Cricetulus griseus: one gene and its partners. The protein of the gene in region 3 interacts with the protein of the main gene of each other region in a pairwise test. Links are inferred from orthologs where the notes say so. Each region holds a gene or a part of one and is shown on either strand. Other genes may lie near its edges.

Region 1 (4,526 bases), on a different chromosome or scaffold from region 3:
TGTGTCCTCTGGGAGGAGCTGTTCTTCACTAATCTCTTTCTGCATGCAAGTCTCCTCAGTGCACTACCATGAAAACAAGGTCTTTTCATCAACAAGCCTGACACAGACTCTGCCTCAGTCCGAGGCCACTTTTGGGACCGTGAACTGTGACTTCTGCTTTTAGCACTCAGAACAGGCTGGGAATGTCTCACTGAGACTTCTTTGTCCTCATCTGAAGTCACAGTATCAGAGTCCCCAAAATGGAGACTAGATGAGGGAGAAGACAGACACTCACTGAAGGAAGAGTCATTCTCTTCATCACTTGGTGTCTCTAGATGTTGCCTCAGCCCTAGGATTCCCTGATTTTCTTTGACACAATTCTGTACATATGAGGGGCCAGCCTGTTGGCTTTTGCGCTTTTTCCTCACAACCCCACTTTTTTCTTGTTCTTGCTGGTTGCCATTCATGTCCTTCTCTTGTTTTGAATCATCACACAGGTGAGAGAATTCATTCCCCACTTTGCTGTTAATCATCTCCACTTCTGCAGGGAAGCTCTTGGTGGCCCCGAGGGGCTGTGGGTGCAGAAGGACCCCCTTCAGACTCTCCTGTGTTGTGGGCGCATCAGGAGGAGTCCCACTCTTCATAGCCACTTTTAGGGTGTAGAGCTCGTTATATTCAGGAGTCCATTGAGACATGGGAAACTTTAAGGAAGGCCTAGGAGACACAAGGCAGACATTGAAAAGACTCAGTACATCTGTGCTACACAAGTGACTAAAGCCTGCAGCAGCCGTAACATGACTAAGCTAAGCCAGCCTCTTGACTTTCTCATCGAACACTCTAGTACCTCTGCTTCTACCCTACTTTCAGAAACACAGTCAACTAGCACATAGTACTGGAACTTACAGTAACCAAAAGGACCTGGCAATATTCCTGCTAGCTTCCACAATATAGCGTATTTGGTCAAAGCCAAACACTTCCTTTAAGTTTACTTCATTAAACTAAAGAAGAGAATTAGAATTCAAAAGACTGCCTTCTGCAGTCAAAGGAAACCAGTCTGCTGAAATCATACAGCACCCCATGTGCACTGCAGTATTAACCACAACAGCCAAAGGATGGATGAAAAAAATGTAGTAGATACATGATAGAATGCCATTCACCCATTAAAAAAAAAAATGAAATCCTTTCATCTGTAATAACCTGGACAGAATTATAAACCATTACCCTGAGTGAAATAAGGCAGGCTGAAAAGCAAGTTCCACAAGACCTTACTCACATGTGGGATTGACAAAACTAATTCACAAAAGCTGAGAGCAGAATGAAGGTTACCAGAGGCTGGAGAATGGAGTGGAGAGGTGAGATAAGGGATGGCTGGTCAACAAGTACTAGTTAGTTATATACAAAGAACAAGTTTTGGTAACAGTGTGTAATAATGTAATTCCAGGTGATACTATATTGCACATTTCAAACACCTGGAGAAGATTTTGAAAGCTATAACCTAGAGAAAGATGTCTGTGAATGCACATTTATTAACCTGACTGCAACATTACACTATGTACAAACTTATCAAAACACAAAGTACTGAAAAATATGTACAATGTTTAAGCTCTTGTGTATCATTTAAAACAAACTTTAGGAAGGCTACAGTCCTCAGGATTTATAGGCAGCCAATGGATGCTGGGGGAGGTGGAGGCATTTATAATCCCTTACTCATATTCCTATTAGAAACACTATTGGAAGTTCACCATCACCACCAACAAAGATGTAAAAACAGAAGAGAGATGACTTGCAAAGAGGAAAGAGGTCAATGGGAGTGGTGTGGAATAAGAAAGACATGAGAGGGGAATTAGAGGTGAATACAATCAATACATGTACATGAATAAAAATGTACCCATAAGGCTAGTAAAAACCTAAAATTTTAATGTAATTTAAATTATAAGAAAAAACACAATAAAGTCATCAAACCACAACACTTTGGAGGCTGAAGCGGGGAGTACTACAATGACGAATGCAAAGCCAGTCACAACAAGACTCTATCTCAAGAGATTCCTCCAGCCCTGCACCCCTCCCCCGACTAAAAAAAAGAATTCCAAAGACATGTGTTGTTGAATACTGCCTTCAGGGCATAACATGGTCATTGCCCTCTTCAACTGTCAGCAGATCTGAGTGCCAGCAGACTGTACAAGATTGGGCCATGAACTTTCCCTCAAAGGAAAGGGTTCATGAGGCCCACCTCTTCCCAAGAGTTTTCAGATAACCACTGTTAAAGCAGAGGTTGTGAGTCACCCCACCAGTGATCTGCGAGCTATTAGCAGTTGCTAAGAGGAGGGGGCTTATAAGGCCACATCTTTCCCCAAGAACTGACAGGAAAGCTGGTGCAGGAAGACAGATTGCTATTGCAGTGTAGTCACTGCAACAGCTCCCCTAAGAAACCCCAGTTAAACATTGGTTCAACCAAGCCACAGCTTAACTGGATGTTTCTATTGTTGATGCTATTTGGGGTGAGTAGACATTTGTTCATTTATCTTCAGAAAAGTTCATGTCTTCCCTTTGATATTAACATGCTAAAATTGTTTAATAAATACTTCCTGTACATTTAGATGGTTTTTACATTAAATAATTAGCTAGTAGAAATACAGCTTCTTTCTCCTATGACTCCATTTATCTAATGAGACCCTAATTCCAACAGAAGTTTGACACAACTAGTAAATTTAGTGTCAGTACAGCAAGCCTAGAGCAAGGACCAAGATTCTGAAGATAACTGTTAAATCAGCAGCACAGCAGAAAATAAAACTTCCCACAACTGGTCTAAGTGTGCTTAGATCATCTCACCTCTGAAACTGAGCTGTTGAACAAAGGAACTTAATTTACTGCATCAACACCAACACAATTTTTAAATTTTTTATTATTCCTTGATGCATGTGTGTGGCACTTGTGCCACGGTGTAAATATGAAGTCCACAAGACAACTTTGTGGAGCTGGTTCTCTTCAGAGATCAAACTTGGGTGCCCCGGCCTGGATGTCAAGCACCTGAGCTTTCTTTCTGGCTCACAGTGTAATTTTGTACATAAAAGAAGGATGACCATGTAAAATTGTGAACATCACTCAAGATGGAACACTCGCTAGAAAAGTAGTTAGTCTGACAAGTGAAGCACTGTGTTAGAGCAGTATGAGAATCTAAGCAGGCGTAAACACGGTTTGTATGCTTTAGAAACAGTCTGGTTTGTATGCTTTAGAAACCAGTACCTTGCTCAGACTGTCTCCAACTGCCAGGATCAAGGGCATCTCCTCCCTCAGCTTCCAAGTTCATCACTTCCATCCATCAACAATTGTGACCACTTCCTAACTTCCAAAATGATAGAACTGTTTCTACACTAACAGACATTTTCAAACCATTTGTTTGTTTGAGACAGGGCTTCTCTGTGTAATTCTGTCTGTCCTGGATCTCCCTCTGTAAACCAGACTAGCCTACAACTCAGAGATCACCCTGTCTCTGCCTCCAACTGCTGGGATTGAAGGTGTGTGCCACCACCAAATAAAACAGGTATTTTATGTCAAGGGTTTCCATAAATAACAGATACGTAAATGCATAATTGCATAGGTTTTGTGCTCTATTTCACAGCTCTATTATCAGAACAGACCTCATGAAAGTAAGATTACAATGACCTTTCCCTAGAGAATGCCATTCAATCCTTTTCTTTCTTTTTTCTGTGTAACAGCCTTGGCTGTCCTGGAACTCACCCTGTAGTGCAGGCTGGCCTCTAGATTCTTTCTTTTCTTATAAGATTCTTACAAGGGCAGGCAATGATGTTTGCAAGCTCAGTCATTAAATCCTACCTAGAGTATAGCACAATGAGTGAAGGGAGGGGGGAGCACAGCAAGCAACAAATTTACAGTTGCTAGTCAGATCAAGACCATTGCAACAAAGTGCAAGAAAGAACACCTCAAAATAATGAGGCTTAAGCAAGTGTTAGCAAGAGGGAAGGAGTAGATGACATTGGTTACAGTAACAGGTACAAACTCATGTTAGAAAAGATGTAAGGATACTGAAACCAGCCATGCCTTGAGTCCCAGCACTTGAAGACAAAGGCAGGCAAATCTCTGTGGGTTTGAGACTGTCTCTGTGGGCACTAGACACATATTCGACACACATACACACATGCTAAGTACTCATATACATAAAAAATTAAGTAGCTTTTTAAAATTACAAAGACTATACAGGTAAAATTTAAATTAGGCTGCAGATGATCTAAGAATTAAGATTGTGAGAAACAGGGCTTCTGTGTCTCAAAATGCCCATGGTGTTAGCTGTTCAACTCTGTGACTCTACAGAAACCACCAACCCTGAATCTCAATGAGCTTTTTCTTCAACTCTGTGACTATGTGGAAACCAGCAACATTGGATCTCAAACAGTGAAAACTCCAAAGAAAATTATGAAGGCCCTTAGGCACCGGATAATTGTGGACCCCATAAATAACAGAAAACTTGGGATGTATCTTTTCAAAGTATCTGAGATTTATCCAGAAATCCAGCTCTCCCTGAACTTGAA
Region 2 (4,526 bases), on a different chromosome or scaffold from region 3:
CAAGATATTTTTACTATGGTGTTGGCCTTTAAAACACTATAATTTCAGAGCCCAATTTTTGTTTTTCTTTTTTTTGTGTTTACATATCATCTAAAGGTCTAGTAACTATCCTATTAAATACAATGCTTCCAAACAATAAGTAGATATAATACTCCACCATCCTTATAAAGCTCCATATTACAAGGCATTCACTCAATCAAAAAACAAACAAACAAACAAAAAGGTTAAAGATGTAAGGTTTTTCGTAGAAATTTCTAAGACTATTATATACTCTTGTTACCCAGCAGCTCTTCCCTAACCACCCAGCAACCTGAAGTCATGAATACATACATATTCTCGGAGGCTTTAAATGAACCTACCTGCTATGGGGATCCCTCCCAGACCTGTGTTGTGCTGTGGCGGGAGATTCAAGTCCAAGAAATTACTATTTGAGGTGGGGTTTGCTGTGTGGTTCAAGTGCATGATGCTATTGCGTGGAAAGGCCATCCAAGGATAGCGGGCTGCCTGGCCTGGAAAACCGAACGAATTATAAACTGCTCGGTGCTGCTGAAATTGAGGGAACCTCTGTGGCAAGACTGAAAAGGTACTATTAAGAGAGTTGGCATTTGTAGGTGCAGCAGAATGCAGGAATCCAGAGCCTGGACCTTTGGCTGTTGTAGTGTGTGAGGAGGAGTTCTGAAGAGACGTGGGAGAAAGGGAAGGTTGATCTTGGACGGACAGTTCCTTCTCAATCAGGTCTGCTAAGGCTTTTCGAGTGACATCAAAGGGATCAAAACCCAAGTCATCCTCTGGCTGTTTAGAAGAGCCAAAACCAAACGCTGCTTGCCAGTCTGTAGATGATGATACTGGGATTGTTTCTGTTGGGAAGAAATATAGTGATGAACATAGTCTATCTTCACAGTGTATATTAAACATCCTACATTACAGTCTATACCAGTGTTAAGTTACACATGCCACATTATAATAGAAAGCAAACATGCAAGATTCCAAAGGAACTCATAATTTCTAGCAGTGATTTCACTGCTAAATTAAGTTCAAAAACTGAATGATAGGGCCTGGAGAGATGGCTCAGTGGTTAAGAGTACTGGCTGTTCTGGAGGTTAAGAGTCCAATTCCCAGCAACCACATGGTTGCTTCACAACCATCTATAGAGGAATCTGATGCCCTCTTCTGGCATAAAGTCATACATGCATTCATACACATAAAATAAATAAATCTTAAAAAAAAAAATAAACCTTAATGATATAGACTGGTTGTGCTGATCAGAAGGAAAACCTCCCCTGTTATCCAGGTTACACAAACATTCATAATTAAAAACTAGCATGCTATTAAAAGTGCTACAGTCTAAAAGACTTTAACTAGTAAGGCTAACTCTTCTATTGTATGCTAAGATTATGTTTTTAATCTACATCACAGGCGTCATTGTGGCTATTAATTTATGCCATCTTTCAGATGGATAAAAATATTTAAATGAGTAAAAAGATAAGTGGTGTGCTCTCTGCTTTCTAATTAAAAACTCTCTGCTTGTCCATTCACACCTGACACCTCTGAAACCATCAAGACAAAGATGTAAAGCCATGCTTCTTCAGGGAAGAGAACATAAACCATTCTTCAGGCTAGTTTCATCTGAATGTGATGGAACCAAAGTTCCAGCAGGTGGCTGGCATTGTGCTGTGGATATCAGTTAAAACATAATTTCCAGAGTCTGTCATGTCCTTTGGGATAGGGCCTAGGCTCACCCCTGTGTGTCTAGGCTGATGGAGTATGCCTCTATGTGAAATGGGCTCCCAAAGTCCATTCCTATGCTATCCTTGATCTACTACAAGGGGCCCCATAAATTTCCAAGGTCTCCTCACTGACACCCACATTCATGGGGTCTGGATCAGTTCCATGGAAGGCCTCACTATCCCTGGGGAGCAGAAATGGTATGGGATAGGTAGGGTGTTAGTGGGGGGCAGAGGAGGAGGGGAGGGAGAGGGAACTGGGATTGACACATAAAACAATCTTGTTTCTAACTTAAATAAAAAAAACAAAATGGAGGGAAAAAAAACCATAATTTCCAAAATGGTAAAAGCAAAACTCTTATACAAATATAAACCATGCCAAAAATTTTAAAAATAGGATGGCAGAGAGGGGACAAAATTTAGTTTTTACAACTACGTAAATTACTTATGCCAATTAGACAATTAGGGGAAGATCTTAAATTTGATTACATCAACACAAATCTGACTTAAAAAGTTGAGTCCTAAGTTACTCCCAGAGCAGTAACTTTTTTGGTTTTTTCCCCCCCTTTGGGTTTTAAGACAGGGTTTTTCTATGTAGCCCTGACTGGCCTAACACTCAAGAGATCCAGCCTGCCTCTGCTAGGATTAAAGGTGTGTGCCACTATACCCAGCCAGAGTAGTGAGTTTTTGAGAAAATATAATAAATGATTTCTAGATAAATCTGCTCTCCAACACTATAATTTCTAGGCAACACAACTTTCATAATATCGAATACCATGTAGTTTAAAAGTTATAGTTTTTAAAAAGTGGACCCGACAGAAAACAAGATAGAAGTATATCAACCAAAATGTATTCCATTAGTCTGTCAATTTATGAGTCTGATTACTAATACTAGGTAATTACATACCTGACGTGAAGAGGCTCTGTGGTTCTGGAGCTGTAGGCCAATCACTGGGTGTCTGTGGAGAGCTGGGAAAAGGAGGAAGCCCACTTGGTATAGGGTTGGGGTGTCGAAAATTGTCTGAGAATAATGACTGTGACTCTGTTACTGCCCCTTCAAAAGGAGACCTTGCACTGTGATTGGATGAACTGATGGGGATGACAGGATTGGACTTTGATAAACCAGGTGGTGGTGAAGGCGTATCACTGTTAGATATCTAAAAGAAAGAGGAAGAAGTCAAGATAAATTTGTATCCTAATAAACCACAATTGAAAACATTTGCAAAAAAGGTTTCTAACAGTGGTCTTCAAACCAGAACACCTGACTTTTTAATCAAAGTGTGGAATTTGAAAAAAACAAGCAATTCATTAATTTATACATGTACTTAAAAAAAATAGTGTTCTCATCTTTTACAACTCCCCAAACTCCCTTGCTGTCTAGGAATTCATTATGTAGCAACTGCTCAACTTTTAGGGGCAAAGATAAATGATCAGAAATGCTCAAACTGATAGCAAGTCAATAACTGGCTCCAATTACAGCATCCTTTTGCATATTAGAAGATTCCAAGTATTTTAGTTTTTAACCAAAATAAAGGAAGATCTAAGTTTTTCTCAATCATTCATTAATAATTCTGGAGGCTGGGAGTATAGCACGAAAAAGACCCTGTGATCAAACCCCCAGCATCAAAAGCAAAAACACAACAACAAATAACAACTAATCAAACAAAAAGGAAAAAAGAAAACCCCATGCCTATTGGGAGGCTAAATCATTCTGTGATTCTGAGGCTTTTAATTCCATGGTCTGAGGGACAGTAACATTCCTCTCCTCCTCTATCTGTGCACTATTTATACAAAATGTCTTGGGAAAATAAAAAGAATGAGTAAGATTAATGCAAGTTTATTTAATATTACCAATGTTCATACACAAATATTCTGAGATGACCCCAATATATGCTGTTTGATCAACTCAATACTATTAATAGAAAGTCAACATGGGGGAAAAGGCTTTGAAATCCTTCTCATAGAGCTGGGAATATAAGTGTACCATTGCTGAGTATGGGTAAGGCCATAGATTCATTTGCCAGCACCAACACCAAAATACACAAACAAACAAACAAACAAACAAACAAACAAAAATTCCCTTGTCGGGGCTGGAGAGATGGCTCAGAGGTTAAGAGCACCGACTGCTCTTCCAGAGGTCCTGAGTTCAATTCCCAACAACCACATGGTGGCTCATAACCATCCACTATGAGATCTGGTGCCCTCTTCTGGTGTGCAGATATACATGGAAGCAGAATGTTGTATACATAATAAAAATCTTTAAAAAAAAAAAAAAAAATCCCTCGCCATAGAAAAACATTTCAGTTCAGATTTATAAGCGTATTTAGGGGTTTTCTGTGTGTGTGTGTGTGTGTGTGTGTGTGTGTACGCGCTGTGTGTATTTTTATAAGTAAGTGTACACGTGTATAAGTTCATACAAAAGCCAGAAATCTGTACTTGGTATCTTCCTATACATGCTCCACTTTAGTTTTTGAGATGTCTCTTACTAAACTTGGAGATCACCTAAGGCAGTTGTGCTGAATCCTCCTGTCCCTACCCTACCAATGCTGGGTTTATAGATATATGCTACTGTGCTCAGCTTTTATGCGAGTTCCTGGGGTACAGATTCAGATCTTATGAGCCTTACATTTAACTATGAGAAGTATAATGCATTAAGATACAACTTTGTGATGGCAAGAGAAATACAAGTATATTATATTCAAAGAAGAAAAGAGAATGATGTAAAATTTCTAACTGTTGAAAATTCTAAAATAAATTTTCTAAATCCAGTATCAAAACATGATGTGACCAAAATATGAAGAT
Region 3 (4,526 bases):
CTTCTCTTTTCTGAAGAGGAAACTGGAGAGGAAGTGGATATGGAGGAGAAGAGAGGAGGGGCTGGGAGGAGTAGAGTGTGGGGAAACTGTGATGGGGATATAGTATATGAGGGAGGGAGGACGGGAGGGAGAGAGAGGGAGGGAGGAAGGGAGGGAGGGAGGGAGGGAAGGTACCTGTATAGAGGGAGGTATACACCACTAGGTGGGACTTTGTTGAAATGTTAGAGAATACATTCCAGAAAATGTACTTTCTAAAAATCCAGTCTTTACAGAAACAGACATCCGATAGACAGATGACAGACACACACATAGATGAGATAAAGATACACACATATATACATACATCATTACATATATTTAAAGAGTTGATTTAAAAAGAAAAGCATTTCACACAGAGAAATCCCATAAAAATCAGAGACTTTCTTGGCTTTTTCTTTTATTTGTTTATCTAATTTTATTTTACTGTTTTAGGTGCCTGTTTGTGTCCCAAGGAGAAAGAGAAAGAAAAGGTCGATTTGGGTTGATGGGGAAGGAGGACAGATCTGGGAGGAGTTGGGGGAGGGGAAACCATAACTGGAATGCATTACATCAAAAAAAAAATTTATGCAATTGAAAAAAAAGGTGCAGAGCACTTTACTAGTTGGAGGCCATGGTCCTGAAAACCTCCCTGGCACACTGGATTCCTCTTTAATAAACTCAGCTACAAAGGCTAAGCTCCAGGTTTTTTACTTGAGTACTTTATAATGAGAAGTCAGAGGAAAAAGCCCTTCAAGTAAGTACCATGTTTTCTGTTTGTTATCAAGCTGAACACTCAGGTTAAATGAATTAAGAAGAAGGGAAAAGTGAGCCTGTCACTCTATTTTACACTACACTCACAGAAGGCAAAAAATGAGAGTGTTAAGTATTAGTTTTTCCTTTTGTCAGTTTTCTAGTTTTTGCTTATCTATAAAGACAAAATCCTTATTATTAACCTATTTCTGAAAGCTATCAATAAGGTTTATTTCATAGAGGGAGTTTTACATAAGTTTCTATTTATGTTTTAATCAATGTGTAGTTTTATTTACTATTAACTATTTTGAATATAAAATTATTTTTAAAAAGCCAGAAGTCTGTAACATTTTGGTTTCAAAATAACTGAGTTTCCATATTAATTCATGAACAACAATGAAAGCAAATTATTACATTAATATACATGTAAATTCTAGAATACCTGGGTTTGGGAGAAGGGTAATTAATCAATGTATATCTAGGTTCTTACCTTTGGTGGTTTAAATGGATAATCTGAAGAAAATGTGATATCCAGAAAAAAAACACCACCTTCATATACAGAACCTGGTGGACCAAGTATAGTTGACCTCCATTCATAAATGTTATCTCCTTTAGGGCCAGCACTATTTAAAAGAAATAAAAAAAAGTCAATATACATCCTATATAAATACCTGTATACATGTCTATAAAAATTTAGGTTAACACCTAAAGATGAATACAAAATTAGAATTAAATTAAATAAGCAATCTAAAGCAATGAGATAAGTGTGCTCAAGTACACATGCATAAATTTTGAAATATTCCAAATAAACAGAAATTACAATGAAAACACAACTACTATATAACTTTACCCAACACCTCATAACTTTTGCTATTTGCCTCCTTTTCTCCCTCCTTCTCCTGCTACCCCTACACACACACACACACACACACACATTTATCCTTTCCATGTAAACACTTAACGTGTGCTCTTCCAAAAAATAATTTACAAATCAACAGTTACAATTTCAGTAACTATGTCATCCACAGTAATCTAGAATCTGTACGATAAAACTGTAAACTAACTCTAATACACTTAATATTCTCCCCCAGGTACAAGGTATTGGGATCAAGAAAATCTTATGTCTTATACTTTTAATCTATTCTGTGATGGGATTTTATTATGTAACCCCCAGGCTGGCCTAGAACTTCCAATACTCTTGCCTGCCTATTTGCAGTGCTATTAATTGCAGGCATAATCCCCCATGTGCACCTCACCACACCAATTTAAGCTCTATGCCTTAACTTTCCTTTAACATGGGTCCTATCATTACTTAATTTTTCTTTTATTTGACAAATAAATATGCAAGACCATTTGAGTTTGTCTGTGGTTCTCTCATAATGAGACTCAAACAATACACTCCTAACCAGAGAAGTAAATAAGTGGTATGTTATTTGGGGGGGTCATGACAGTTTGAAGTACATGATATGGTGTCCTTTTCCTCACTGGTGATGTTAAACTTCAGCCATAGAAGACGCCTTCCAAATTTCCTACTGCTTAGTTACTATCTTTCCCTGCAACCGATATGTATTCTTTGGTCAGATTACAACCATGCAAATAGCCTACTCTTCATTCAAATTTCTCCTCTAGATTTAATATTTATTTGGAGTCCTCTGAAATTTACTATGATATTGGCATAATGATGATTTTTCAACTCCAGTTCTTTCTCCACATTTAACAGCTGTCTTGAGCCCCGTCTTGCCCTATGTGTTTATATGTTATGTTACTGATATGGTCTCCTAAATTACTAAATCTTTTCAATGCTTTACAATTTACTACTGCTTGAATCATCCCATATTAGCCCGGTGGGAGGGCCTACAAAACAGCTTCTAACATGCTGGCAACATTTTAGAGTCCATTCTTCCTTTCTGGCATGAAAAGATGCTCTACTCTTCCAGTCCTCGAATTAGCTTCAGGAACCTTGGGTCCTTGTAGGAGAAATGTTAGGAAATCAAGACTTGAATTCTGCTGAACACATTAACATAATGCATTGTGCTCAACATCAGTATCATTTATGGAATAAAAACTAACAGTTCAATATAATCTAAACTAAATTTGTTGTTAGTAATGCAACTCTATGATGCCTATAAACATCCTTCAAACACACCTTACAAATTCCCATTTTCCTCTATTTTTTCACCCATATCTTTAATCATGTGTATATGCGGGTGGTGTGAACAGGAAGGACATGTGTACATGAGTAAAGGTACCCACAGAGTCTAGGAGACAGTTTCAGATCCTCTGGAGTCTAGGGCCACCTGATATGGTGCTGGGAATCAGATCCTCTGTAAAGGCATCATATTTTCTTAATGGCAGAGGCATGTCTCCCACCCATGTTCCTCTAGGTTTTTACACCACAAATTATCTTGGCTTTATACATGTAAATATGCATATGCTTTTGTTCTTTTAAACTACCCATCAATTTAGAAGTGATCTGGAGGTCCTATTTAAATAGTAAGTGTGAAACAGTACTGCAACCATATTAAAAGGGGGATCATTTTAACTACATGTTATTAACTCTGCAAGACTGACACCGAAAAACTAGAAAACTTCAGAAGACAAAAATCTCAACAAAAGCTATTCTATAGTCTCAAATGTTTCTATTCATGTCTTTAATTTCACTGTGGCTACTTCTGCTTTCCTGGCAGGCTTTGCAAATATTACTTGTATAAGTACCCAAATACACATGACCCAACTTCCAAATAACCAAATTGCCCAGAACACTTAAATTATAGATGACTGAACAGAAGTCAAGCTGAAGTCAATGCATTTTAATGGACTGTAGAATTACAGACTGAAAAGATGATGCTTTGGATAAATCTACCAACCCTTGAGGAAATCAAGATGGAGGGGGGAAAGAATCCATCTTAAATTCCATTATGGGGTAGAAGAGCTGAGATTCCCACTGGGAAACTAAACTCTTGATCCTATGTTTGCTTTTTTTTTTCCCTCTCTCTCATACGACATGAAAAGGGGTTCATTTAACCCTATGATAGCAGGACATTAAGTGTGACAGAAGCACCTGGCCCAAGGAGTCTATTTTTGTTTTCATTAAGGCATCATTTGGACTAGAGAGAGGCTGGGACAAATCCACCAAGAGGAATGGGAAAAGGTAGCTTCAGGACTGAGTCCATTAACTCAAAGCATTTTATAGGCTAGCAGAAGACCTGCCACTGAGGCCTCACAGCTGAGTGGAGGGGGGGGGGATGATAATGACCAAACATTTCCTGTATCTTTCCTGACTAATCTCCATTCTTTCTGTTTCTGTCCCTTCCACAGGGCAGAAGTCTACAAACTTCCACTTTGCTGTACACTGTCTTAGTTCCATCCCAGAGAACATCATCCACAAGAATCCAACCATGCCATTTTCCCCAAACGTGATTTAAAAAGAAAAACAAAAACAAAAAAACAAAACTGTTTCTCTAAACCTTCCAGCTTTCATCTTATTACTGTTCCCTTTAATAGAAAAACATCCTTCCAAGTTTTGTGGCCTCAAGCCCACAGCAATTTGCGTTGGCTTTGTGGTAGGATTATAATCAGGTGCTACCACCTCCAGCTTTATTTGTTCTTGATATCACTATGATAAAAATCAAGTTTCAACAAGGCACTTCAACTCCAGACTTAGTTATCTTAATAGTTATTTTATAGTTTTGAATTTTGCATTCATTTTCATGTGGAATGTGGCTGGTTCTCAACTATCTTTCTACATCTTAAAAACA
Region 4 (4,961 bases), on a different chromosome or scaffold from region 3:
ATGGACTGTGAAATTTTGACCAAAATAAAACCATTAGCATGTACTGAGCATCTACTACTTGTCAAACACTGAGTTAAGAAATCTAGATAGGATGAAAGACCTTCCCCTGACAGTCAAAAGTCCAGCTCTCTAGATCAGCTTGACAGCTGTGACAGCTGCAACAAAGCAAGGCTGTCAACCAAGAAAGAAGGAAGAGAAAAGCCCAGTGCTCTGGAGTTAGGGTCAGAGCTGTGCCTTGCATCCAAAAAGAGCCAGGCTCAGCCACCTGTCCTCAATGCATCAACTAAAAAAGCTAACAGTAAAAAACAGAAAACAGACATTTATCCAATGTAGCCACAATGAGAAGGCGAAGGCAAAGATACCCAGTGGCTCTACCCCAAGTCACTCTTTGGGTCTTAACAGGAAAGTAAGAGTTTTTCAAAGTTTTACCTTATTTATTAATTTTTATGTATATGGGTGTTTTGCCTGAATGTTTGTCTTGCACCACATACATGCCTGGTACTCACAGAGGTCAAGAGATCCCCTGGGACTGGAGTTACAGATGATGGGTGAGCTGTCTTGCGGTGCTGACAATCAACTCAGGCTCTACAAGGGCAACCAGTACTCCTAACCATCAAGTCACTTCTCCAGTGGGAAGTAAGGTTTAAATGGTCTAAGTGAGCGGTCAGGTTAGAGTATGGTCCTGCCTAGCACCACCTGCTCAGCCTCCCCCTCCTACAAAGGTTATCTTGACAGATTCCTTCTCTGACCCTCCCCATGCCCTCGGCTTTTCCCTCTCCCAGCAGCATGACTTCCTGGGGGAATTCCAATTTCTCGGAGTCCACTGTCTCAATAATCTGATAGTCAAAGGGAAGGATACAATAGAAATCCTCGCTCCTGCCTAGCTGATTATACTACCCTTGAACTCAAAGACCTATGTTTTAAGTTCCAAGCTGTCTTGGTTGCATTCCTCTCGCTGTGATAAAATACTGGGAGAAAAACAAAGTAAAGGAGAAAGGCTTATTTGGGTTCACAGGTCAAGGATACACTCAGTCATGCTGGGGAAGTATCCTGGCTAGTTTTATGTTAACCCGACACAAGCTGGAGTTATTTGAAAGGAGGGAACCCCAATTGAAAAACTTCCTTCATAAGATCCAGCTTAATTAGAGATTGATGGGGGAGCGCCCAGCCCACAGTGAGTGGTGCTAGCCCTGGGCTGGTGGTCCTGGGTTCCTTAAGAAAGCAGGCTGAGCAACAAAAGAGGAACAAGCCAGTAAGCAGCCCCCTCCATGGCCTCTGTATCAGCTCCTTGACTCCAGGTTCCTGCCCTGTTTGAGTTCCTGTCCTGACTCCCTTCAGTGATCAACAGTGATGTGGAAGCAGAATAAACCCTTCCCTTCCCAAAAGTGTTTCATCACAGCGATGATAATCCTAACCAAGGCAGGAAGGTAAAGGGGGCTGAAAGAGGCTGGTCACGTGACATCCAAAACAGGAAACAGCAATGAATGCCAGTGTCCTGCTCATTTTCTCTTTTTTTGCACCAAGAACCCAAGCCTAGGCCATGGCGCTGCCCTTTTATAGGGCAAATCTTGCCACCAAGTGAACTAATCAAGATAGTCCCTCAGAAGTGCACCCAGAGGTTTGCCTCCTGGGTGATTTCAGATCCTGTCAAGTTGACAGTTAATGCTAGCTATGTGACTCTTCCTTTGAATCTCAAATATCTGGGTTTGCAATCAGGGAACCCCACTGTCAATCTCAGAAATTACTGTGCTGAAAAAAAAAATCGGAAAACCAAGATGGAAAGATGCTGTGTGAAGTGTTAAGTGCAGTTCAAATGAGAGTGTACTTTTAAAGCAACTACAATATAAAAAGAAACAGTTGGTAGAAGCAAGGAGCTGAGTGGTTAACAATAAGCTTCTAAGTTAGCTACTCTCCAGGCCGGAGCCACACCTCCCTAACATAGCTGCACTAATCCATCTCCACCTAAAACATCACCTTGCTTAAAGAGGCAATGCCCCTGTGACGGTTAATTTTAATTGTCAGCTAGACAATTAAAGAGTGTCTCAGTAAGGGGCTATCTGAGCTGGGTGGTGGTGGTGGTGGTGGTGGTGGTGGTGGTGGTGGTGGTGATGCACGCCTTTAATCCCAGCACTTGAGAGGCAGAGGCAGTCGGATCTCTGTGAGGATCTCTGTGACTTAGAGACCAGCCTGGTCTACAAAGAGAGTTCCAGGTCAGTCTCCAAAATTACAGAGAAACCCTGTCTCGAAAACAAACACACAAACAAAAAACAAAGTAAGGGGATATCTAGATTGAGTTGGCCTGTGGGTGTGGTCTTGAGTTGGGGGTGGTGGTGGTGGTGGTGGTGGTGGTGGTGGTGGTGGTGGTGCACGCCTTTAATCCCAGCGCTCTGGAGGCAGAAGCAGGCGGATCTCTGAGTTTGAGGCCCACCTGGTCTACAGATTGAGTTCCAGGACAGCCAGGATTACACAGTGAGACCCTGTCTCGAAAAACAAAACAATACAAAAACAAAACAACAAAAAAGTGGTCTTTACTGCTCTAATTGAACAGTGAACACAACTTGGCTGTTGTGCTGTGGGTGACACCATCCCCTAGGTTTGGGCTCTGGACTGTATAACAGTAAAGAAATCAGCTGAGCACTACACATGAATGCATTTGTTTTTCTTTGCTCTTGACTCAAATGTAACTTGACAGCTGCCTCAAGTTCCTGCCTGGGCTTCCCCGCGACGATGGATGGTAACCTAGGATTGAAAGCCTAATTAACCCTTTCTCCCCTAAGTTGCTTTTTGTCAGGAGTATTTTACTATGGCAAAAGAGACAATCGAAACTCTGCGTTTCCCCATCTTTCCACTTTCCTCCGCCTTACTCCAACCCACTTCTCACGCTATCACACCGTCCCATTACATGTCGATGTCTCGTCGTCCTAGAAAGGAGCGCCTACGGCGACAACGACCTCCGTTCCTCTCGCTATCTGGTGCACAGCAGTTTTTCGAGAAATAGTTTTAGAACAAATGGGTGGCATTCAAAGTAACTCCAGGGACTTCGGAGCTGGGCAGCCTCTCCGCAGCGGGTGCCCGGGGTCCCCTCGCGGCCGCGCGTCCTCTGGGGCCCTGTGGGTCCCGGGTTCCGCTCGGCGCGAGGGGCCGGAGAGGCCAAGCCGGCTTCCGCACTGACCTTGAGCTCCTGGGCGACCTGGGCCTTCTGCCGATAGATGGAGTACAGCACGGCGGTGATCATCGAGCTGGTTCCCAGCAGGATGAACTGGCCCAACGACGGCAGCGATCCGCCCTCCATGGCGACGCCGAGCCGAGCCGAGCCAGCAGCCTGGAAACCACGAGCGACCCCTGCGCAGCCGGGAAACTCTTATAGGAACGCGTAGACGCGGCGCCTGTTGATGACGAAAGCGACACCGGAAGTGGCGACCCAGCAGCGGGGACCGGAAGGCGACGTTGCCGAGGTGATTGCGATGTTGTTGCGGCCTCGTGGGAAAGCGGTCGGCTTTCCGGGGCACCTCACGGTTCCGCGCACTGGCCGTGGTCACGGGCTTCTAGACTTTCTGGCTGGGTTATTTCTAAATTGCTTTTCATTTATCCTGGAAGTGTTGTGAGATCGTACCACAGTGCGTGTGTGGAGAGCGGGATGCCCTGTGAGAGTCAGGTCTCTCCTTCAACCTTGTGGGTACTCGGGATCGAACTCAGGTCTTCAGCCATAGCGGCAAGCGCCTAAACCCACCGAGCCATTTCTCCAGCCCTTGCTGGGTTATCTGATGTCGCCGTCATCAGATGCATGTTAAGGACTAAGGAGTGTTACTCGTTTAAGCAATCGGGTGAATCTGCGTTATGCTCCGTTCCTTTGTGTGTGTGTGGCGGGGGGGGGGGGGCGGGGTTCGAGACAGGGTTTCTCTGTGTAGCTTTGGAACTCTGTAGACCAGACTGGTCTCGAACTCACAGAGATCCGCCTGCCCCTGCCTCCCCAGTGCCGGGATTAAAGGCGTGCGCCACCAACGCCCCGCATACTCCGTCCTCTTTAAAGATGAGGAAACTGCGGCCAGAGGGGATGGGGAACATGGTCAGAGCCGTATATATCGCTGAGGAGATCTGGAGAGCAATTAGACTAGCTGCAAAGCCCTCGCCTCTACTCCAGCTGAATCACTAAAGCAGCTCCTCATCTAACACCGCCACATAAAACAGCATACTGTTTATTTAGTAAGAACTGCAGCCGCGTTTATTGAATGACTACTATGTGCTATGTGCTGTGATTACGTTTCCTAGGTTTGCATTCCACCCGTGACCTTAGGGACCAAACCCGGGGCCACAGGTGCTCTTCCACCAAGGTCCATCCTAGCTCCTCCAGGCCAACACAACACTGTCATAGTGCAGGTTTCAGGAGAGGAAACTGAGGCTCAGGTTAAGAAATAGGCTCAGGCCGGGCGGTTGGTGCCGCACGCCTTTAATCCCAGCACTCGGGAGGCAGAGGCAGGCGGATCTCTGTGAGTTCGAGACCAGCCTGGTCTACAAGAGCTAGTTCCAGGGCAGCCTCCAAAACCACAGAGAAACCCTGTCTCGAAAAAAAAAAAAAAAAAAAAAAAAAAAAAAAAAAAAAAAAAAAAAAAAGAAAATAGGCTCAGATCTCTACCTAAAAGTGACAGGGGCTTCGAAACCAGTTGACCCATCAAGGATCTTTCCTACTCAGGCATCTGCTTCCTGAAACAATCAGAGACCCCCAAATCTTCACCAGTATATCTGCCTGCAAAGCCTGTGTTCTCTGAGCGTCCTACATGTTGTACTTTGAATTCTTCAGAATGGAAGGATATATCTATTGCCCCAAAACAATATTTAATCCTTGGAGTTTTTTGTTTGTTTGTTTGTTTGGTTGGTTGGTTGGTTTTTCGAGTTTCTCTGTGTAGCTTTAGAGCCTATCCTGGCACTCGCTCTGGAGACCAGGCTGGTCTCAAACTCACAGA
Region 5 (5,231 bases), on a different chromosome or scaffold from region 3:
TAGATTACCCAACCCCTCCCTCACCTGCTTCGAGTCCTCCTAGCTCTCCTTACATCTTTATACTCTCTCCACAAGGTGACCATCTTCCAACACCTCACTGCTTTTTTTTTTTTTTTTTTTTCTTTTTTTGAGGCTGCCCCGGAACTCACTCTATAGTCCAGGCTGGCCTCGAACAGAGATCCGCCTGCCTCCTGTCTCTGGCCTCCCAAGTGCTGGGATTAAAAGTGTGTGCCACCAACGCCTGGCCTCTCCCACTGCTCTTCATACAAACCCTTATCTACTGGGCTCAAAACACCTTTTAAGATGGGCCCTGTTCCTGTGTCCTTACCCTTTTGATACTCATGGGTAGGAATCTGTTTCAGTTGTTCTTTGGTAAGTCGGTTCCGCTGGAGCCGTTTGCGGTGCTGGATACAACGAACTACCTAGGAGTAAGGGAGAGTGGACCAGGCTTAAGTTGAAAAAGAAAAAGAAAAGAAAACACTGGAAAATCCAATAACCACCTCACTAACCCTCTCCAGACACAGTCTGGCCTTGTAATTTCTTCCCACTGCTACTTACCAGTACAGCTCCCATGGCCAAAACCAGCAGTCCTACTATGCCAGTGAAAGGAATGAGATAATAGCCCAAGGGGAAACTATTGTCTGGAACCAGAAGCACCCGGGCCCTAAGAAAGAAAGACAAGTCTCAAGCCAGGAACCAGGCAAAACCAGGTAACTGGATTGGGACAAGGCGTTGGTGAAGAGAAAGGAAGAGCCTGAGTGTGAGTGGGTAGGGTAGTGAGGCTTGGGGAAGAGTGGGAGAAGAGGAAGAAGAAAGCATTATGTCCTACCCCTTCTCATAGACAAAAAGGGCTCGTAGGTACTCTGCACTTCTCTCTCCAATAAATACAGATGGGATCCAGATCTGCTGTTGGATTTCCTCTGTAGGGAGCAGGATAGTGGGGATTTAGCCTTCCACTCAGTTCCCTGGAACTGGCATCTGACACTTTGCCCATCCCACCCAAAGAACCCAAAGGCCTCTTTTGATCCTTTAGTCCTCCTACTGAAAGTCCATCGGTGCAGTTTCCCCAGCCTTACTCACCACTATTCCACACCATGTTCAGAAGCTCATTGGAATGCACATTGTGAACCACAGCTGCACCATACCCAGCTTTTTGAGCATTTAAGACCTAAGAAGACAAAGCACGGACAACAGTCATAAACTTTGCCTTTCTTTGCTTCCAGTGTCATTTACCATGTTTACCAGCTCCCATTCCACATTTAGCAACCTTGAGGTCAAAGTTGCAGTCGAATCTTCGAAGCAGTGCAATAAAGACTGACCCATTGACCGGAGCTGAGGGTGGTGGGGCAATGGGACTGCAGGCATTTTCTGGATGGGCCTCCACAAGGAACCCCTGAGGAATAAAAGCAAACAGTTGGATTTTCCATCTTTACATTCTGCCTCCCACAGGGCCTATCGAATATAGTGATACATACACCATCTGTATTCTGTAGCTCTACCCTCATTGAGGTCTAAGCATCCCACCTGAATCAGAATCTACATCTCAGGCCGGCATGGTGATACATGCATTTAATTCCAGCACCTGGAAAGTAGAGTTAGGCAGGCAGGTGTTTTGAGTTGGAGGACAGCCTGGTATACACAGTTCAGGACAGCCAGGGTTACACAGAGAAACCTATCTATAAAACCAAACAAAGCAGAATCTAATCTCTTGGCTTCCCGAAGATGCAATTACAGAACATATCACCTCTTTACCAGAGGCTCTCTCGACTTCTCAAATTCTTAGTTTAGTTCTGTTTTTCCAGTTTCCTGATAATTCAGCTTGCTACTCATCCATGTCATTTTCACCAAGTTTTTTTCAGATTCGTCTTTTTGTGTACATACAGCACTTTCAATAACCCTCACTTTAGAAACAACTATTGCTATCCGTGGTCCAACTGAGTTCTTCCTATGTGGCAAGAACTTTGTAATAAACTATTACAGACATGCTTAACTCAACTTACCAGTTAACACAGTAGTTCTAAGTTAATTTCCATTACCCATTTTACTAAGGGTCAACAAAATACCATCCACAGCCATTCATACAAACAGTAAACAGCTCTGGAGACATTACTGATAAGCACCTGCTTCCTATCTTAATTCACTCTCCAATGTCCCTCTTAAACTTGGGAGTTCTCGGACACTGCCTTCTGCCTCTAGATTCTGAACTCTACATTGGACACGGTCATATACTTAGGTTTTGGGCGGGGAGCTGGTATTGGTGATTCAGTCTCACTCGTGTTAGGAAAGCACCCTATCACTGAGTTCTATCCACAGCCCAACGCATCCCGCTGCTAACTCGACTACTTCCTACCTCCAGTTGGATCCAGAGCACGGCTACTCAACCCCTGCCCAGGATAGAGACTATAAGGAAACGGGGAGAGCATCACCTGGAGTCCCTCCTCGCTCAGGGCAGCCCCAAATAGAGCTGGGAGGTCTGCAAAGTCCATGCTGGCATTGTGCTCCGAGGTCTGCAGACAAAATTAGTCCGTTTTTCTCTTCGGCCTGGAAACCCTTCTCGGCACCCTCCGCCCCATCCGCCCCTTAGACTCACCGCTCGAATAAGGCCTCGGATAGGGGATGCTCCCCACAGCACAGTAGCCACAACAACAGGAAGCGGGAAGGCTGCAGGGTGCATGGCAGCGGGAGGGGTAAGGCTGAGGAGGTCGCGTCCTGATAGGAGCCGAGTTCTGCGACCTCTCTGCCTCCTTAAGGATCCCAGGGGTCCAACCACCCCCAGGTCCTACTTTCTCAGCTACATGGGGGCGTCGGGGCAAAACTCCGACTCGGGAAGTGCGGTATGAAACCAGCTTAGTGGAGCTGGGAGGGAGACAATGTATCTTTCTCTACTACAGAAATAAAACGGAGAATAGAAACGAAGGCAAAAAACAGGTAACAGAAAAACTTCAGGAAGGGTGGGGGAAATCTCAAAGAGGTGGGACTTCCGGCCAGGTAGGCCGTCTTCCGATCCCCTGGAAAAGGGTTTCCGGTAAAGAAAGGCCGCTTCCAGTATTGGACGCTCAGGACGGAGGACTTCCGGTCCTAAAAGGCCGGTTGAAAGAAATGTTAGACACGGAGAGAGTTCCTGCGCAGATGGAGGGAGCTCCGATGCCCAGGAGACGACCTAATTTTCTTTTCCCCTCAGCGCCCGAAATCTTGGTGCTGCCCTGTTTACAAACCTCTCTGCCTCCTGCTCGCTGCGGTACCTCCAAGTATCGCGAGAGTGCTTACCACCACCACCGCCACCCCATCGCTAAGCTGAAATTTATCGCGAGAGAGAGGATGCCGGCCCTAACTCGACTGTCTCACTCGTTCTCGCGAGATTTTCAAACACTAGTTTCCCGCGATTCCAATTCGGGAAGGGCGGGGGCTACAAAGAGGCTTCCTAGATCAGCCACGCCCCTTCGCTTACGCATACTAGCCCCGCCTCCTTCCCGGCCTCCTTTGCGCTAGGCGCCTGCGGTCCTCCCCCCCCCCCCGTCCGCCCCCCAGTTTCCAGCTCAAGCCAGACTTGCCTGTCGGAGGGGCGTGCGCGCGCGCGCCTTCGCCCTGTTGCGCGCTGGTGTCACCTTGGGCGCGAGCGGGGCTGTGCGTGCACGGGACCCAAAGCCGAGGGCCATCAAGGGGCGATGGCGGCGACGGCGAGTCCCGGGGATGGCCGGATGGACGGGAAGCCCCGTACCTCCCCTAAGTCGGTCAAGTTCCTGTTTGGGGGCCTGGCTGGGTAAGCTCAGGCCCCAGGGATGGGAAAAAGGAGGAAGGGACGGGCGCAAGTAACTGGGCCCAGTGCATCTCGGGGTATGTTGCAGTAAATGGAGCGGGTGCGGGGTCACCATAATGTCCAGAGTATTGCGACCTCCCTGGTGGGCTGACAGGATTATTCACCCATCGCAGGCCCCTACAGGGCTGGCTTCATTCAAGAGTCATTGCCCCGCGTGTTTCCACCACCATTGCTTCACCGTGCCTGATTGTGTGGTGGGTCTAGGTTATTAGAGGCGTTGTTAGAGGACCGCTTGGAGTCGTAGGTTATGGATGTCCTCTCCACCCCTCCTTAGTCAGACTGCCTGTAATCTAATTCTATTTGAGCTCTAAGGAACTGTTTGAAGTGTTTTGATTTGCATGGTCTTTACTGGACAACTGGACTTTTTTTTTTTTTTTTTGCCTGGCACATCGCCCCTTCGTTCACACACTTATGTACATGCCCACCAGCCTCCTGAATCCTTAGCTGCATGTCAGGCCCTGACCTTCGTAACTTCTGGCTGCCAGGTTGCAGTAGACACTAATAGAGCAGGAACAGCTGAGCTCTGTCTCCTTTTCCTGCCTTACTCCAGGATGGGTGCTACAGTTTTTGTGCAGCCTCTGGACTTGGTGAAGAACCGGATGCAGTTGAGTGGTGAAGGGGCCAAGACTCGAGAGTACAAAACCAGCTTCCATGCCCTCACCAGCATCCTGAAGGCAGAAGGACTGAAGGGCATTTACACTGGGTACTGGGGCCTCCGGTTGGGAAGCGAGGTTGTGGGTTGGCAGGTCCAGACCTTGGCCCGATAGGCTTTGCTGACCTTTCTGTTCCTCAGGCTGTCAGCTGGCCTACTGCGCCAGGCTACCTACACCACCACTCGTCTTGGCATCTATACCGTGTTGTTTGAGCGCCTGACTGGGGCTGACGGTACACCCCCTGGCTTTCTGCTGAAAGCCCTGATTGGTATGACTGCAGGTGCAACTGGTGCATTTGTGGGAACGCCAGCTGAGGTGGCTCTTATCAGGATGACTGCTGATGGCCGGTGAGTTCCAGGTCTGAGCTTGACTCCAGCCCCATTCCTGGAATCTAGAGTGAAAGATCTAGCTAGGTTTTACCTGTTTTTGTTAGCTGAGATCTACGGCAGGGCACTTACCTGCTTAGGCCTCCCTGTCTTTGTTCCTATGGACCCTGAGCCTGCCTGATCTTGGCTTTTTTCTGCCCTCTCCCCAGGCTTCCAGCTGACCAGCGCCGAGGCTACAAAAACGTGTTTAATGCCCTAATCCGAATTGCCAGGGAAGAGGGAGTCCCCACACTGTGGCGGGTGAGCAAAGGGGGCAAAGTCTTGGGACGTGGGGATCAAGTCTGTGGCATTTTTGACTCTCTTCGTTGTCTCCACTCTCTAGGGCTGTATCCCTACCATGGCTCGAGCTGTCGTCGTCAATGCTGCCCAGCTTGC

The links.
Region 1: the proteins of Ube2e3 (region 3) and Rnf111 interact in a two-hybrid assay, tested with the Homo sapiens proteins (2 studies listed by BioGRID and IntAct). The link is inferred for Cricetulus griseus from reciprocal best matches to the Homo sapiens genes UBE2E3 and RNF111.
Region 2: the proteins of Ube2e3 (region 3) and Cnot4 interact in a two-hybrid assay, tested with the Homo sapiens proteins (3 studies listed by BioGRID and IntAct). The link is inferred for Cricetulus griseus from reciprocal best matches to the Homo sapiens genes UBE2E3 and CNOT4.
Region 4: the proteins of Ube2e3 (region 3) and Mul1 interact in a two-hybrid assay, tested with the Homo sapiens proteins (2 studies listed by BioGRID and IntAct). The link is inferred for Cricetulus griseus from reciprocal best matches to the Homo sapiens genes UBE2E3 and MUL1.
Region 5: the proteins of Ube2e3 (region 3) and Rnf167 interact in a two-hybrid assay, tested with the Homo sapiens proteins (2 studies listed by BioGRID and IntAct). The link is inferred for Cricetulus griseus from reciprocal best matches to the Homo sapiens genes UBE2E3 and RNF167.

Annotation. Positions count from the first base shown.
Region 1 is NC_048597.1:182,022,569-182,027,094, forward strand, and holds part of Rnf111 (E3 ubiquitin-protein ligase Arkadia), read right to left. Parts: intron 694-4,526; 5' UTR 675-693; coding exon 1-674. UniProt on the Homo sapiens protein: E3 ubiquitin-protein ligase. Required for mesoderm patterning during embryonic development. Acts as an enhancer of the transcriptional responses of the SMAD2/SMAD3 effectors, which are activated downstream of BMP.
Region 2 is NW_023276806.1:192,883,475-192,888,000, reverse strand, and holds part of Cnot4 (CCR4-NOT transcription complex subunit 4), read right to left. Parts: intron 2,882-4,526; coding exon 2,632-2,881; intron 858-2,631; coding exon 360-857; intron 1-359. UniProt on the Homo sapiens protein: Has E3 ubiquitin ligase activity, promoting ubiquitination and degradation of target proteins. Involved in activation of the JAK/STAT pathway. Catalyzes ubiquitination of methylated RBM15.
Region 3 is NC_048599.1:96,235,694-96,240,219, forward strand, and holds part of Ube2e3 (ubiquitin-conjugating enzyme E2 E3), read right to left. Parts: intron 1,392-4,526; coding exon 1,259-1,391; intron 1-1,258. UniProt on the Homo sapiens protein: Accepts ubiquitin from the E1 complex and catalyzes its covalent attachment to other proteins. In vitro catalyzes 'Lys-11'- and 'Lys-48'-, as well as 'Lys-63'-linked polyubiquitination.
Region 4 is NC_048595.1:14,920,179-14,925,139, forward strand, and holds the start of Mul1 (mitochondrial ubiquitin ligase activator of NFKB 1), read right to left. Parts: upstream 3,381-4,961; 5' UTR 3,293-3,380; coding exon 3,173-3,292; intron 1-3,172. UniProt on the Homo sapiens protein: Exhibits weak E3 ubiquitin-protein ligase activity. E3 ubiquitin ligases accept ubiquitin from an E2 ubiquitin-conjugating enzyme in the form of a thioester and then directly transfer the ubiquitin to targeted substrates.
Region 5 is NC_048600.1:84,457,554-84,462,784, reverse strand, and holds the start of Rnf167 (E3 ubiquitin-protein ligase RNF167), read right to left. Parts: upstream 3,343-5,231; 5' UTR 3,216-3,342; intron 3,079-3,215; 5' UTR 2,675-3,078; coding exon 2,591-2,674; intron 2,508-2,590; coding exon 2,351-2,507; intron 1,583-2,350; exon of another isoform or gene 1,506-1,582; coding exon of another isoform or gene 1,476-1,505; intron 1,394-1,475; coding exon 1,320-1,393; coding exon of another isoform or gene 1,268-1,319; intron 1,169-1,267; coding exon 1,081-1,168; intron 921-1,080; coding exon 830-920; intron 665-829; coding exon 559-664; intron 423-558; coding exon 329-422; intron 1-328. Other genes in the region: Slc25a11 (mitochondrial 2-oxoglutarate/malate carrier protein), read left to right, coding at 3,666-3,760, 4,368-4,520, 4,611-4,817, 5,006-5,096, 5,179-5,231.